Lonchura striata: one gene and its partner. The protein of the gene in region 2 interacts with the protein of the main gene of each other region in a pairwise test. Links are inferred from orthologs where the notes say so. Each region holds a gene or a part of one and is shown on either strand. Other genes may lie near its edges.

The links.
Region 1: the proteins of very-long-chain enoyl-CoA reductase (region 2) and HACD2 interact in binary tests that used the Homo sapiens proteins (3 or more experiments, as listed by UniProt). The link is inferred for Lonchura striata from reciprocal best matches to the Homo sapiens genes TECR and HACD2.

Annotation. Positions count from the first base shown.
Region 1 is NC_134610.1:10,617,700-10,625,021, reverse strand, and holds the start of HACD2 (very-long-chain (3R)-3-hydroxyacyl-CoA dehydratase 2), read right to left. Parts: upstream 3,007-7,322; 5' UTR 2,995-3,006; coding exon 2,864-2,994; intron 1,240-2,863; exon of another isoform or gene 836-1,239; coding exon of another isoform or gene 780-835; intron 1-779. UniProt on the Homo sapiens protein: Catalyzes the third of the very long-chain fatty acids (VLCFA) elongation four-step cycle (condensation, reduction, dehydration, and reduction).
Region 2 is NC_134611.1:20,996,589-21,003,436, forward strand, and holds the start of very-long-chain enoyl-CoA reductase, read left to right. Parts: upstream 1-3,832; coding exon 3,833-3,913; intron 3,914-4,410; coding exon 4,411-4,462; intron 4,463-4,797; coding exon 4,798-4,842; intron 4,843-6,128; coding exon 6,129-6,232; intron 6,233-6,848. UniProt on the Homo sapiens protein: Involved in both the production of very long-chain fatty acids for sphingolipid synthesis and the degradation of the sphingosine moiety in sphingolipids through the sphingosine 1-phosphate metabolic pathway.

The sequences.
Region 1 (7,322 bases), on a different chromosome or scaffold from region 2:
AAACCTGAGCAAGTACAGCTGAGAACCAACTGCAGTACTGGTTATCCCCTGTTGTACCATGATTGTCCCCTTTCTAAAAAAAATACCCACCCAAAACATGAACCAAATAGTACATGCATGCAGCTCCAGTCAGAGATCCACAGGTACATAAGCTTTTTGTACAGTTTTGCTCTTGTAAAACCCATTGCATGGTTTTTTTATGTAGGAATCCATACACCACGTGCACTACAGCATAAAACTAGAAACAAGATCTATTATTTTTGGAGTAAGTTGTGTTTTCTTTAGCTAAGCCAAGACAAATGCAAAGTAAATACAGTAGCTATGCTGACATGTTTTAACTGTTATTTGATCTATTTTAAATACAGTTGATAGTCAAGGCAACTATGGTTTTAGAACATTTACTTTAGTACCTATTTACTGCACTATTATCTTGATGTGTCCTTCAGTATATAAGCCTTTTGTAAACCAAACCAAACAAACCACTTCCAAAAAACCCCAATGTGCTGTTAGAGCATCACTTCATCACTTGGGCATCTTGAATTTTTTGGTTTTTTTCTTTTCACAGTTCTCTTTCCAAGGCAGTGCAGTTGGAGAAACTAAATCTGAGCACTCTGACTGACACGGGGCCAGTAAATAATCAGTGCCACCAGCTGTGTATCAATCATTAGATCTTTTAATCTGAACAACTGTGATTCTGTCAACCAACTCCAGAAAAACTACCTTTTTAAAAGGCTTCACAATAAAAAGAAAAAAACTGAGCTTTTTTTCCTAAGCTCAACCTTGTACATTGTGGAATTTCAGCAGTGTCCAGGGGAAGTGCCAACTCAACATCCATTTGAAGAGGAATTATCAGTGAGAGCTCTTGGTGACCTACCCCGAAAGAGAAATGAGAGACAACACAGAGATATGACCATGACCACAGAACTCGTATGTAACTCCCCAAATTGCAGAAATCATCTAATCACAACCATCTCCAGAAAAAAGCAGCTCATGTTAGAAAAACATAAATCACATCCAACCCAAGAGTGGAATTTTCTAAGAGGTTTGGTCTAAATCAAGAAAATCGGTAACACTGAGATCAAGATTTATATGACAACAGAAAGCTAAATAGAGGTTTATGTTATTTATTTGAGTTTCCAGCACTCATTTTTTTTTAATTTGTTCTTCTGAAGAAATAGAAATTTCCCATGCTCAGGAGCTTGCACGCCATGACAAAAAGTTCATGACCACGAAGAAAACTTTCCATTTATACCACAGCTTCTCTCTCAGGTTTTTTATGTCTTTTATAAACACAAGCAAATTGCATATGAGCAACAAAATAAGCAGGGAAATGCTTTTGTTTCTTAGAAGAATTCAGAGGTGAACTTGTTAACATGGTGCAGGGACACCACAACAAAACTGAAAAGTTTTCCTGACTGCCTGCAATATGTTGTATTACTCACGTAATTATTTCTGAAACAATGGATTACTTAAATTAAGCTGGTGGGTAATTATCCTTGCCCTCTGAGTGAAATACCCTGCAAATATCCTATGGAGCCATAAAGCAGCTCAGTAACATTTCACAGTAACACAGCTGTTGGGCAATGGGTGTACCAAGCACCTCACAAGAACTGAGCTCTCTCAGCTCCCCTACCTCTGATCCATACAAGTGTAAATATCTTGTAACCTGAAATAGCATCAGCTGCCACCAGCAAAGACAAGAATCTTCATGTCCAACTGCCTTATTGAAGTGAATCATATCTATATTAATTCTACACTAACCTTCCTCCCAAACATGACACTACTCTGTTTACTCGACTCCTCACCTGCCTGGGTTTATCTAGCAGAAAACACGCTCAGTTGGGATCTATTTTAAAGGCTTTTTTTTCTCCCACCCAAATATCCCCAGTCTTTCAAAAGATGGTTTTATTTTTATCCAGATTCCACGGAGATTCGACAGCCACAATTAATTTAAAAAAAGAAAAAAGTCTCCTTTCTCTTGAGAGTTCCCAGTTGCCAATATTTTTAGTTTTGTACCTAAGAACGCAAGCAAGCACCAATTGGCCACAGTCTGCATTTTGCTATGCAGGACGAGGGCAGAGCACCAGGCTGGTCCAGGAGCTCACATATCCCAAAAGCAGCTTCCAACCTCAAGTTACAGAAGTGCTGAAGGGTTTATGGAGAAATCTTGCAGGGCTCAAGATCTTTGCCTTTAACTACTGCTGTGGACAAATTCCCTGTATTTAGGGTCACCTCTCTAGTGAAATCTAGTGACATGGTGATGCAAGGAACCACCTGGATGTGAGAACTGCTGCAGCGCACATTAACGTGTCACTGATGCCGCACGGCAGCTCCCAGCGAGCGCACCGCGCTGCCGTGCGGAGCCCGTCCCGCAGGGCACGGCGGGCAGGCCGAGCTGCGGGGCCTGGCACGGGCTGGGCAGGGCCAGGCTCGGGGGCCCCGGGCACCCAGCCCGCATCACGGGCACGGTGAGAGCCGGGACAGCGGCAAGGCAGCTGAGCACGGACGCGCCGGAGCCGCTCTCCAGCACGAGGAGCAGCGAGCCCGGCTGCGCGCTTCGGCGTTACCCAGAGCGCCAGGCGGGGCCACCGACAGCTCGGGGGCTCGGGGCACAGCCCCGCGGCCGGACCGGAGCCGCAGCCGGGCGGTGCAGCCGCAGCGGCTCGGGGCGGACGGGAGCGCGGGCAGGGCGGCGGAGAGGCCGCTCGCTGCTCTCGGCCCGGCCCCGCTCCCTGCGGCGCGGGGAGCCCGGCCCGGCGCCGCCCTCGCTGCCCCGCCGGACCCACCCGCGGCCGCAGCCCGGCCGAGCGCAGCTCCGCGCCCCGGCCCCGGCGCCCCGCCGGCGGCCCCGCCCGCTCCTTACCCCGCCGTCATCACCACGTTGTAGATAACGAGGTAGCCCGTGGCCAGCGCGCCCGGGCCCTTCCTGCGCCGCGCCTGCTGCCCGCCGTAGCCGTTGTCCGCCCGGCTCCCGCCGCCGCCGGCCGCCGCCATCTCGCGGCTCCCGCGCCCCGCCCGCTGCCGGCGCTCGGCGCGCGCGGGGCGGGACTTGCCGCGGGCCGGCGGGGGCGGCTCCGCGCAGCCGCGGCACCGACCGCGCCCCGCGCCCGCCCCGCGCCGCCCCGCGCCCGCCCCGCGCCCGCCCCGCGCCGCCCCGCGCCCGCCCCGCGCCCGCCCCGCGCCGCCCCGCGCCCGCCGGGGTGTCCGGCTGGGACCCGCGGCCTCAGCGCTCGCCCGCCGCGGCTCGTCCAAAGCGCCCCTCGGCAGGGAGAAACAGGCGGGCCGTGACCTTAGAGACGCTAACAGCGTCAGTTGGTACGCTGTTAACGTCTCTGCGCTACATTGAGGGAATAGCTCGTAGGTTTTCATCACTTTTATAATATAGTTCAGAGGAGAGAAGGCTGAGAGGCGATGTCCATTAATGCGCATAAATGTCTTAAAGGCGGGTGGCGAGGATGGCGCCAGACTTTTCGGTGGTGCCCGGCCACAGGACAGGGAGCAATGGCCATAAACTAGCACAAGTTTCACCTCGGCGTGAGGAAGAGCTTCTTTACACTGAGGGTGGCAGAGCACTGAACAGGCTGCCCAGGGAAGTCCTGGGCTCTCCCTCTCTGGAGACATTCCAAACCCAGCTAGACACGTTCCTGTGTCACCTGCTCAGGCGATCCTGCCTTGACAAGGGGTTGGGCTGGATCATCTCCAGAGTCTCTTCCCACCCTAACAATTCGGTGATGCTGCATGAATGAGAAGTTGTAACTCATTTCCTGCCGAAGATCCATACAAGTGCAAAAAGCCTGGAAAGCATTACTTTCCCAGAAACAAACATTCTTGTCAGGCCTTTCTGAACAGCCATAAAAAGAATTTTTATTTTTTCTCTCCTACAGAAATTGTAAACACGTCGTGGAGTTACTTCTCCACTCCAGTAAACATCTCTCGGTTTATTTCCCATGCATGTCGTGGTGCAGTCCCTTTATGAGCAATGCAGAGTAACAACGTAAGCCTCACTCCCCATCTCAGAAAATTCTGCTTCCATGTGAGTATCTTTGTGACTCAAAAATTCATGTGCATGTATCTTGCAGACAATAGGTCTCAAAAGGCAAAGATGATTTATGAGAATTCCATTTCCAAACAGCTATGTTTTAGTGCAATATTTCAGTAAATGTACCAAGAAAATTTCGATAAACAAATCATCCATTATTCATGTATGCAAGTAGAAAAAAAACCAACAAAACAAGGTCTCTGTTTGCAAAGTCTGATAGTCACTGCAGAGGAGGGGGGTGTGCAGTCCAGTGTTATCTTCCTTGTCAGCAAAGGGAAGCAGAAACCCAGTGACTGCATGCCACACATGCAATTAACAAAGGTCTCCTCATCAAAGACAAATGTGCACAGGATGCTTGGGAGGTTGGACAGGATGGTCATTAAGTAAATTATGTTTCTGCAAATCCAGAAACCCAACTAATGTAAAACAGCAGCCAGCCCCAAATTCTCCACTGTCTCTTGAGAAGACTGAATGTCATACAAAAGAAATACAATAATTAAGTGGTCCACTTCAGGCAGTACCAGTGTCTTGTATAACCTCTGCCACTGGGGTTTCAGCCCTGTGGCACCCCAAGAGTGGATTTCTGGAAACATGATACAAGCAAGGCAAGGTTTATAGAAAGACGTAATGCCTTTTATTAAACCATGGCTGGCAAAATGAGACAGGGTTTCAAGTACATAAAATTTCTTTCTTCAGTGAAAATAGAATTCTATTCTTCAAACAAAGCAAAAAAAATCAAGGTCAAATACAGCTTGCAGTCAATTGCTCAGAGCTGAATCAGATGCATGTCACATAATTTTGGAAGTAGAGGTCATTGTTTCCTGCAGACTAGAATGGATGTTAATAGGAAGCTAGAGGAAGATGGTAAACTCCTTGGAATATCCTTGGGGCAAAAGAAAAATAGGCAGTTTATAGCCTGTGGAACACAAAAGGGAAGGAGGAGAGGGAAGGGAAGATCTGTGCAAGAGCAGCAATTCTGAGTCAGTGGGCTTTGATACAGAGCTTGCTGTGCCCGCAGAGCAGCCCAGCAGAGCCAGACCTTTTCCTGCTTCAGGCATGTGCCCACCTGCAGCAGGAAACCAGCAGTCACTGAACAAAGCCAGGTACATTCACAAGACAGTGGGGCACACCTTGCAAAGATGGCTTTTCGAAGGGCTGAGGATTTGCTCAAGAAGCACGTTGCTACAAGCAGGGTGCTTGCACAATCTTTGCTTTAAGGAGAGTCTGTGTGGTCCTGCATGGCTTGTGGTGATGTGGGCTGCATGTTGGCAGAAGTCTGAATAAAGGCAGCACAAGCAGATTTGTCCTTATCTCTGTCTTTACAGTTTTTAGAAACATTGGTGTAAGTCCGTATCTCCATTGAGGCTTCCCTGATTTTTTTCTCTCCTCCTCCCACAGACTTTCAGAACTCTATGTTTCCCCACCATGTGGGAATTCCCAACTCTGAAACAAACCCAGAGCTGCCCTGGTGCCCCATCCATGTTCCCATGGAGGCCTGTGGTGACGCTGGAGCCGTGGCAGGGCACGAGGCCACGAGTGCCAGCCCCAGGCTGCAGCTGGTGGCAGCGGGGCAGAGCAGCTCTGCAGAGCACCAGCTGGGCAGGGAAGGGCAGCAGCACCACAGACATCAGGGAGGCTCCACTGTTGCCACCTCAGGGGTTTGTGTGGCCAGCAGCTCCAGCAGCTCCCAGGGGCAGGAGGAGAGGCTTGGCCAAGGTGAACGCGGGGACGCTGCAATAGAGCATACGAGGAGTGTGCTTTGTGGTAGTATTTATTTAGGAACCGTGAGTAACTACAGCCGTAGCGGTCTCATCTTTGCAATTCTGATGGTTTAACAAACAGGGAGAACATTAGCATATTTTTATTAAGGTACAAAATACACCCCGTTGTTGCCTAAAACATTAAAAAAAAAAAAGTGAGGAAAGCTCTGTATGCTCTAAATCAGATTCAAAACCTTTCTGTATAAGGAATTGTGGCAATACTGTGTTTAGTATAACAAGAGGTTTGTATCAATCGAAAAGACATGCTGGCAATCTGAATTTAGCAACAAAGAGTAAAGCAGTTACAAACCGTTGTGTCACTCACATTAGCTGAGCTTTGAATGTAGAAGAGCAAATCATATGAAACACATACACAACTAGGTAATATCAAACAACCTAAGGCTGATAATGTACACACCTGTATTAAAGTACACTGACTACTTAATGGTGAGGATTTAAGGTAATGTCTTTTTTTAAAAGAGGTAACCTTTGATATGCAAATGGTTGCACTTTACACACAAAAAGTGGAAAAGAGAAAGAATCACTTTTGGAATGATACATAGATATAAGACACACTGGTTTTAGATTATGCATAACCACCTTGCAGCCTCTGATATTACCTCTGAACAAGACGAAAAACTTAAAAAGTGCCAATACTGTGAAAGGAAAGCAAAGTTACTAAGTCTGAGTGTGTTAACCATTTCTGAGAAAAAAATGGGGATTGGATTTTTTTTGTTTTGTTTTTCTGCGTTTTTAAAAAACGCAACAGCCTTACTGGTGCAGGTTCAAGACAAAAACAAGACAGTCAAGCTCATAAGGTAGAAATAGGTCCTATATAGGTTAAGATTCTTTGGAAATTGCTAAGAATAGAGGAGTTTGTAATCCAGGCTACTATCTTTTTGGCTACTCAAAAAATCCGTGGGAGTTTCCAGCTTATCATCAGTTGAAATCTGTTTTGCAATTGCCAAATAAATGCAAGTAAAACTTCAACTAACCTGGGATTCCATTCACAGACATGCACAGAGAAATCATTGATTGTGCAATAACCTGTTTTTTCATAGCAGCATATATACGAATCATAAGTCTTTATTAGACTGACTAGAAACAGAAAATATTCTCAGTCTTTGTGTTTTCTGTGTGTTTCTTAAGTAGGCAGCTGCAACTGCACTGAAGTGACAAGGCTCCATAAGGGAAAGGTGACAAAGTGGGATCAGCTGGCTAAAAGCAAGATCAGGAGTATCTCAGGAAACCACCTGGATGTTTAATGCTTGCCAGAAATACAAGGACACTAACAGCTCACCTCAGTCAGAGGCAGTGAAAAATGTTTGAAGTTTGGTCTGTGAGACTCTGCTTAAAGCAAACAAGAAAGGATCCATGCCAGCATACTAGTCACAATGCTGGCTGTGTCAAACCTTCCCTTACAGAAGATACAGCTCAGCCTATTCCTCAGGACTGGAGAGATTCACTGCATGTCTGGCCAACAATGCCTTTAAAGTCGATCTCAGGGAGCCAACTTAGCTGCG
Region 2 (6,848 bases):
TTCTTGCCCTGTTTTATTACTTTTTCTAAATCACATGCTGCTGGCTGTTTCAGAAACTAGTTCTAGATGGATCCTTAGACCCATCCTCTACAACAGTTTGTACCTTTTGGTGCAAGAGAAGCTTCAGACTGATAGTCAATTGTAAAGCAGTAGTACAAACAGAATTTTCAGTCTAAGTACACTTACAGCAATCTCCCTTTGGCTTAACTCTTGACTTGAAAAAACTATTCTTGATATGCCCTAGTGTGAGATCACACTAAGGCATGCTTACTCCCTTCAGAAACAATAAAAGAAAAGTCAAAGGAGATAGAGAAAATGAATAATTCTATAGGAAAAATGCTGAGAAAGGTTCAGTTTGCCACAGTTTGGACTGTGGCAACCACTGGATTAATTTTTTAGAGTTAAATTCAAATAAACTGATTTATGTAAGCATTCAACAGTTCAGGGAGAATTCATTCTGCATTGCTCTTTCTCAGACTGGTTGGTTCCTATACTGTGAAATAAACTTTTTTTTTTTTTTTTTGAAAATCTGAGTAATTTAAAAATAAATCAATACAATATATGCTTATGTCAGTGCTTATAAAGTCTCACTCAGGTTTACTCAATTTACTGATTACAAATGGTTTCAAATTAAACTTCTAAGATGCACAGACATGATAAATGTGTCAGTATTTCCATAATAGTTATCACATTATTTTTGAAGATCTGCTGATCCTTTAGCACTTTAGCTATAGCTAAAGCAGGAATTCAAGTGACTATGTTTTTGTAATCCTATTACAGAGACACTGCATCTTAAAAACTTTTTAAACACTTTGCTCAGCTGTTTTCCCCTTATGAATACTTTTATTTTAAGTTTTTATTTTCCAGATAAAAATTTAACAGCTGAATAGAATTTTCTCTGCTTATATTGTGTATTGATTATTGCTTGCCCCCAACTTGTCTGTGATCTAAACATTAATAATCAAGATTTTTTCTTTTACTAATTACACTATCAATCTTCAATCCATATGCAATTGAAGAAATATGTCTTCTAAACATCAAATATTTGTAGTCACTTATAAAAGAGTTTTTAATGTCTTCTAAAAATCTGCCTATTGATTAAGTTCTACTCTAAGTAGTCTCAGAGAAGCTGTATTTTAAAATGTCTTTAAAAATTCACCAAATAAATGGACTGTCTTACTGCACTAATGCAGGCCAACAGTTGGTGTCCTATTGTGCTAAATGCTTTGAAAACACAATGAAATTAAAGTTCTCTGAGCCAAAGGATTTATGTTTAGAAGAGATGATACCCATCAGTAAGTGTTCCAAGAACAGATTGCCGGGTGTCTAAAAACTGTTGCCAGCCAATGCATTAACTGCCTTGGTGCTGTGCCTCAAGGCTGGAAACACTGTGTTCAGTGCTAGGCTGCTTCATGGGATTGGCCAGGATGTTCAGGAACTACCATTTCTTGCTTTGGATCAGGCTTTTCTGTTCCTTGTGCAGGGAACACCTACACTGGGGGATGTTCTGATAAATCTAAGAGGCGTGATAGAGGAAACAGTCACCTTGCTTTCACTCTGATGCTGCACAATTTGCTGTGCACTGGAGTGGAACTGAAAGCTGTTCCAGCATCCATCTTTCTGAAAAGGGAAAGAACATTTGATATTTGCTTAGATCTTGAAAGTAAATTAAATGTTTGAAGAGAAAGAAAAAAAAAAGACTCATTGAGCAATTTAGGTTGCAGGAGCCTTGTGGAAATCATGAAGTCAAACTCCTGCTCAAAGCAGATATATGCAGATTAAATGGCATTGGATCCTGTCCAGTCTAGCTTTAAATGTCTCCAAGAATGGAGATTCCCCATCCTCTCTAAGCAACTTCTAATATTTGGCCTATCTTGTGATGAAAAAAATTCCTTGTGTCTGGATTTTCTCCTATTGCATCCAGATACATTCCCTGTCACCATGATCTCTGTAAGAATCTGGATCCATCATCTCTGTAAGCTTCCTTTAGGTATTTGCATGGACCAGTATAGGCAAGTACGACAGTTTGGCATTTGAAAGCATTGTGCTGGAACAGAACCAAATAACAGTGAAATCAAGCTTTATTTGTTTGTTTCCCACACTGATTCTAAAGGCTCACAGAGATTTCTCTACAGCCACTTGCATGAAAACCACAGAGCAAAAGAAAAACTCTGTAATTTTCAGTCTAGTCTTGTGCATAGCAAGAATAACCCAACTAAAATACCTTAGGTGGCAGAAAGATATTTAAACCACTGTAATTGACCTGGAGAATATCGCTCTAATACAACCACTGGGGGCCATAAATTAAAACTGCCCCTGGGAGATTCTGATAAAAAAATATATATATTTGGGTTGGGTATGGGATGGGAAGGACACTGCTAAAAGTGTAGGCACTGCTGCAGTCTGCAAGGCAGCTCAATGGTATTTGTTGACAAAAGAGCCTTGAGATACACGCAAGGTTTCAATGGTCCTTGTAGAAACTTGGCATCAGAAGGGATAAAAAGTGGTGTACAGCCTCCTCTCTGCCCTGTACTTGTTCTGTGGACTGCAAGTGTCAGAATGATGTCTTTCAAGAATAGTCTTCTGGGAAAGGAATCCACTTCATTTGCTTTCCCATGGAGATTTCACACAAACAGACATTAAAATTGGAAAAGTGTATTATTTTAAATATAAAAAACCAAGGGAAAACAAATCCTAACAATCCATCACACACTTGTTACATATCACAAAAGAGGAACGGCACTTCTCTCCCGCAATGTCCCAGTTAGAGCTTACAATGCACAGGCAGAAAATACCACAGCATTAGTGTTCCTTGTGGAGATCAGATTTGATAGGTGTGACTGGAGAAGAAGAACCCTTTGGGACAAGTGAAACAAGGAAATAAGATACTCCAACCAAATGAGCTCTTCAAAGCAACCCTCTGAGAAAGATACTGGACTGTGACTCCTATTTTTAGTGAGGAATCATATTTAAAGTCTAATGTTAATCTATTCTCTTGGCCAGTTAATACCAAACATAATTAATGCTAGATGTTTATATAAAAATCCCAACAACTGCAATGAGGTTTAGGGAGCTGCTGCAACTGGGCTTTGAAATGTCTGGGGTCTTTTCCCTTGGCTGTTGATCAAAATCATAATATTTTGCCAAACTGTCATTTGATTGTGGAAATAAACTGCTCTTTCCTTTTCACAGCTGTAGCTAAACCTCTGCTTGGAATATAAAATGCTAATATGTAATTAATTTAACAAGTGATTGAAGAGGCAGGAGTAACACTATTCCTATAACAAATGTTTAAGTGTTTTTGAAGCCCAGATATTTAGCTGCATTTGTTCATTATATCCACCAATATTTTCCACTCTCCTTGCAATTAAAATATTCTGGAAACAATACACAATAATCTTCAAGCTATATGTACTGAGAATATTTGCTTATATGCATATATATACACATTTAAAATTTTTCTTAAACTCTTCATAATGTTATGAATCATAAAAGTACTCTTCCTTAGTGAATCCTGTGAAACTTTTCTACCCCTTACTTGTTCCACTTGCTCTAGCATAAAAAAATAGCCCAAATCACATTTTTGATCAAAAACTTAGCTACTTCTGCTACTGAATATATCCAAGAAAGCAATTCATTTGGCTTTTTTTTTTTCCAAGTTGAGTGTTTTTGGAAACTGGTGATTGAAGCTGTCTCTTGAGAACATTAAGAAGGTTTTTAACTCAATTCACAGATCAGAGAAAAACCATGTCCCACTCTGAGAGTCACATTTATTATGAATGTGGGAATCAGTTAAGAGTTTACATATTATTTAAATATTATTTAGCTAATAATGATTAATTATCATTTTATGTCCTCTCAGGTGGAAATCCTTGATTGGGAGACAAAGAAACAGCTATGCTTCCTAGATAAGGTAAAACAAAAATCTGCTTAAAAGACTAGGTGACTTTTTTAGAAATTACTAACTTTTCTTAAGTAAAATTTGGTGTTTATGAAGGGTATTTCATCTACTGGTAGCCATTCCTTGGCCACTTGCAATGATTATGCAAACTTCATACTTACTACAGTGTATTTCAACTCTTTTCCAGAAGGAGCTTTTAGGCAAAAAGGACAACTTCAGTTGCTTTACTAAGAGGGTGCAAGTTGTGTGGTACTCAGAAGCCATCAAATTGTCTCTGCTGTAGTAGTAGTAACTCCTGATCACTGCTAGAGAAGCTGCCTCTGAAACAGGTGTCAAAAATTGTCCTGCCTTTTTCCTGTCAGTTCTTTGAATCCTTTATGCCAAGGCTAGACATCTGTAAGAAATAGTTACATTGTCTAAATCACATTTCTATTTGGCTCAATAGTCTTACACCTAGTAGTTGTCTTTCAAAACTTACATCTTATATTTACAATATTTTTGTTGCCTAGGTGGAACCAAATGCTACAATTAGAGAGATCAGATTGATGTTCCATAAATTATGTGAGTATAACTTCTGCAGCAGCTCACATCCTATCAGAATATCCAGTACATAAATAGGAAAAAACTACATAATTTGAAACTTAATATGCTCACACATAATGCTGATAACCTGCACATGAATGTGATCACAGTGAGATTTCAGTAAAATTATTTTATCCTATCCTGATACAGCTCTGCATTTTTTCTGCTGCGTAATTATCACCTATATTAGTGTTTAATAAATATTTATAAAAACCTTTGAACAAAGGTTTTTTTCTTGTTGTATTGGGTTCATTGTAGTAGTGGGTGATGTAAACTGAACGTTGTATATCACACAACTCTGTATATCCTTACAGATCCTCGGTGGTACCCAGCAAGGCAGTCAATAAAACTTGATCCAAGTAAGTACTTGTGAGGTCTGGAGTAACTAAACTGAGCAGGGCCCTGGCATGAAAGGTGTACTTAAGGGTATTGGCACTTGAGAATCTGTTTCCAGCTGTGCTAATTAGCACTGTGAAGGCTGAAGAGAATCCAGAACAAATACAATTCTTTGGAAGGAAATACAGTTACACCCTGGTGCCTGGTAATTAACTCAGGACTTTGCACCTTGTTCCAATGCACTTTCTTAACTACTGAGCACTGTTGCTTTTCAGAGAGACTGCATAGGATCTAGATACTCACTGCCCTTAGCTGCAGTCAAATGATAACCATGATGCTGCTCAGCTGGGAGTACCAAAAGGGGTTTTAAGTTTGAGCTATCAATGCACATAATCCTGTTCTCAGGCAGGAATTACAGGGCTTTTGATGGAAGCTAATGCAGGAGACATTGCTGTGGATGTAGCAATTGCTGACAAAGCTGATGACAGCTGTCTGACTTCATTAATACACTTGTAGGTATTGCTACTAGAAGCCTCTTATGTGGCCTGAGTCCACAAAAGAAAGTCTAATTGCCAAACTGTGTTAATTAATTTTAGCTAAAATGTAACACTTTCTTCCTTTGCTTTCATTAAGGATAAGTTTATTTAAACAATCCCTTAAAAGTATGCTGGTGAAGATTTGCTCATTGTGTAAAATCTGGACATGGAAAATAGGTGTATGATTATTTGTTTCCTTCTTTGAAGGTCTCTCTTATCAGATTCCTCTAATAATTTATGTAGTGAGACTTGCCATGAGAAAATGCTGGCCTTCTGGAGATTCCTCCAAATCTAGGCATTAAAAGCTCAAGTACAGTGGAATCACCTCCTAGCTGGTTGTTTTGGAAAAGAAGGCATGAAAATTTCTATAGGAGAGTTTTCCAAACACATCTTCTGTTTGTCTGATGATGAGCAATGAGAAGAGCAGTAGAGAGAGTTGCAGCTGACTAGGAGGTCAGTGAACTGTGATAAAGGGCATTGCCCCATCAACAAATTCTGCTGTTGGCAGTGATGAAGAAATTCTACTAGACTAGGCAGGCACATAGGACTGAGAAGTCTTTTTAACTGTTTTGGTGTGAACAGAGGATCCAGGGTTATATGTGATTACAGGGATAAATAAAAAATAAGTGTAAATATTCTTGGTCTTTTTAATGCGATTCCACTAAACCCACATCACATCAAGGCCTCTCATAGATAAAGCACCATATAAAGCTAGTATGCTTCCAAAGTGGACTTCAATGTCACTAAGATGTAATTACTTCTTTCCTTCTCAGAAGGAAAGTCCCTGAGGGATGAAGAAATCCTGCAGCACCTCCCTGTTGGCACAACAGCTACCTTATACTTTAAAGATTTAGGGCCACAGATAGGATGGACTACGGTGAGCTCTGCTTCAAGTCTGAGCCATTTTAATGGCTAGTTTTCCACAGTTAATCCTTACATCACTTTTTGTTTCTCTCCAATATTTCTGCATGATGTTTGCTCTGATAGTGGATGCAGGCAATGAATCCTCATTGCTTCAGTTCATTTAATCAGGGAAAGCAGTAACAGATTGAATGCCTATTTAGTTCCCTGGGAGAGCAGCATTGGAAAACCTGCTTCAGGGTAGGTTGGCTCTACAGAACTAAAATGCAGGTTGTCAAATGGATGTCTACTGCAAAATCATTAGGAACTAGGTATGTAAATGCTTTTGGCAATCTGCTCCACAGGACCTGTGTAACTCTTGACAAAATTAGGATTATACTCCAATGAGCTTGTCCTGCTAAGAGGCATGGGAGCAACTTCACATGTCAGTACTTGAAATGACTTCAGCAAGAAAATGCATAAAATTATGATTACTTGCTGTCTGCATGTGACTGTGTCCCAGGATGCCAGTGACAGGCTAATGGCAGCTAATAATTTCTGCAATATTAGCAGCTATCCACATAGACCTTGCATATTTACTGTCTTAGCTCAAATGCAAATTATATCACAACTCACCTGGGAGGCAACACAGC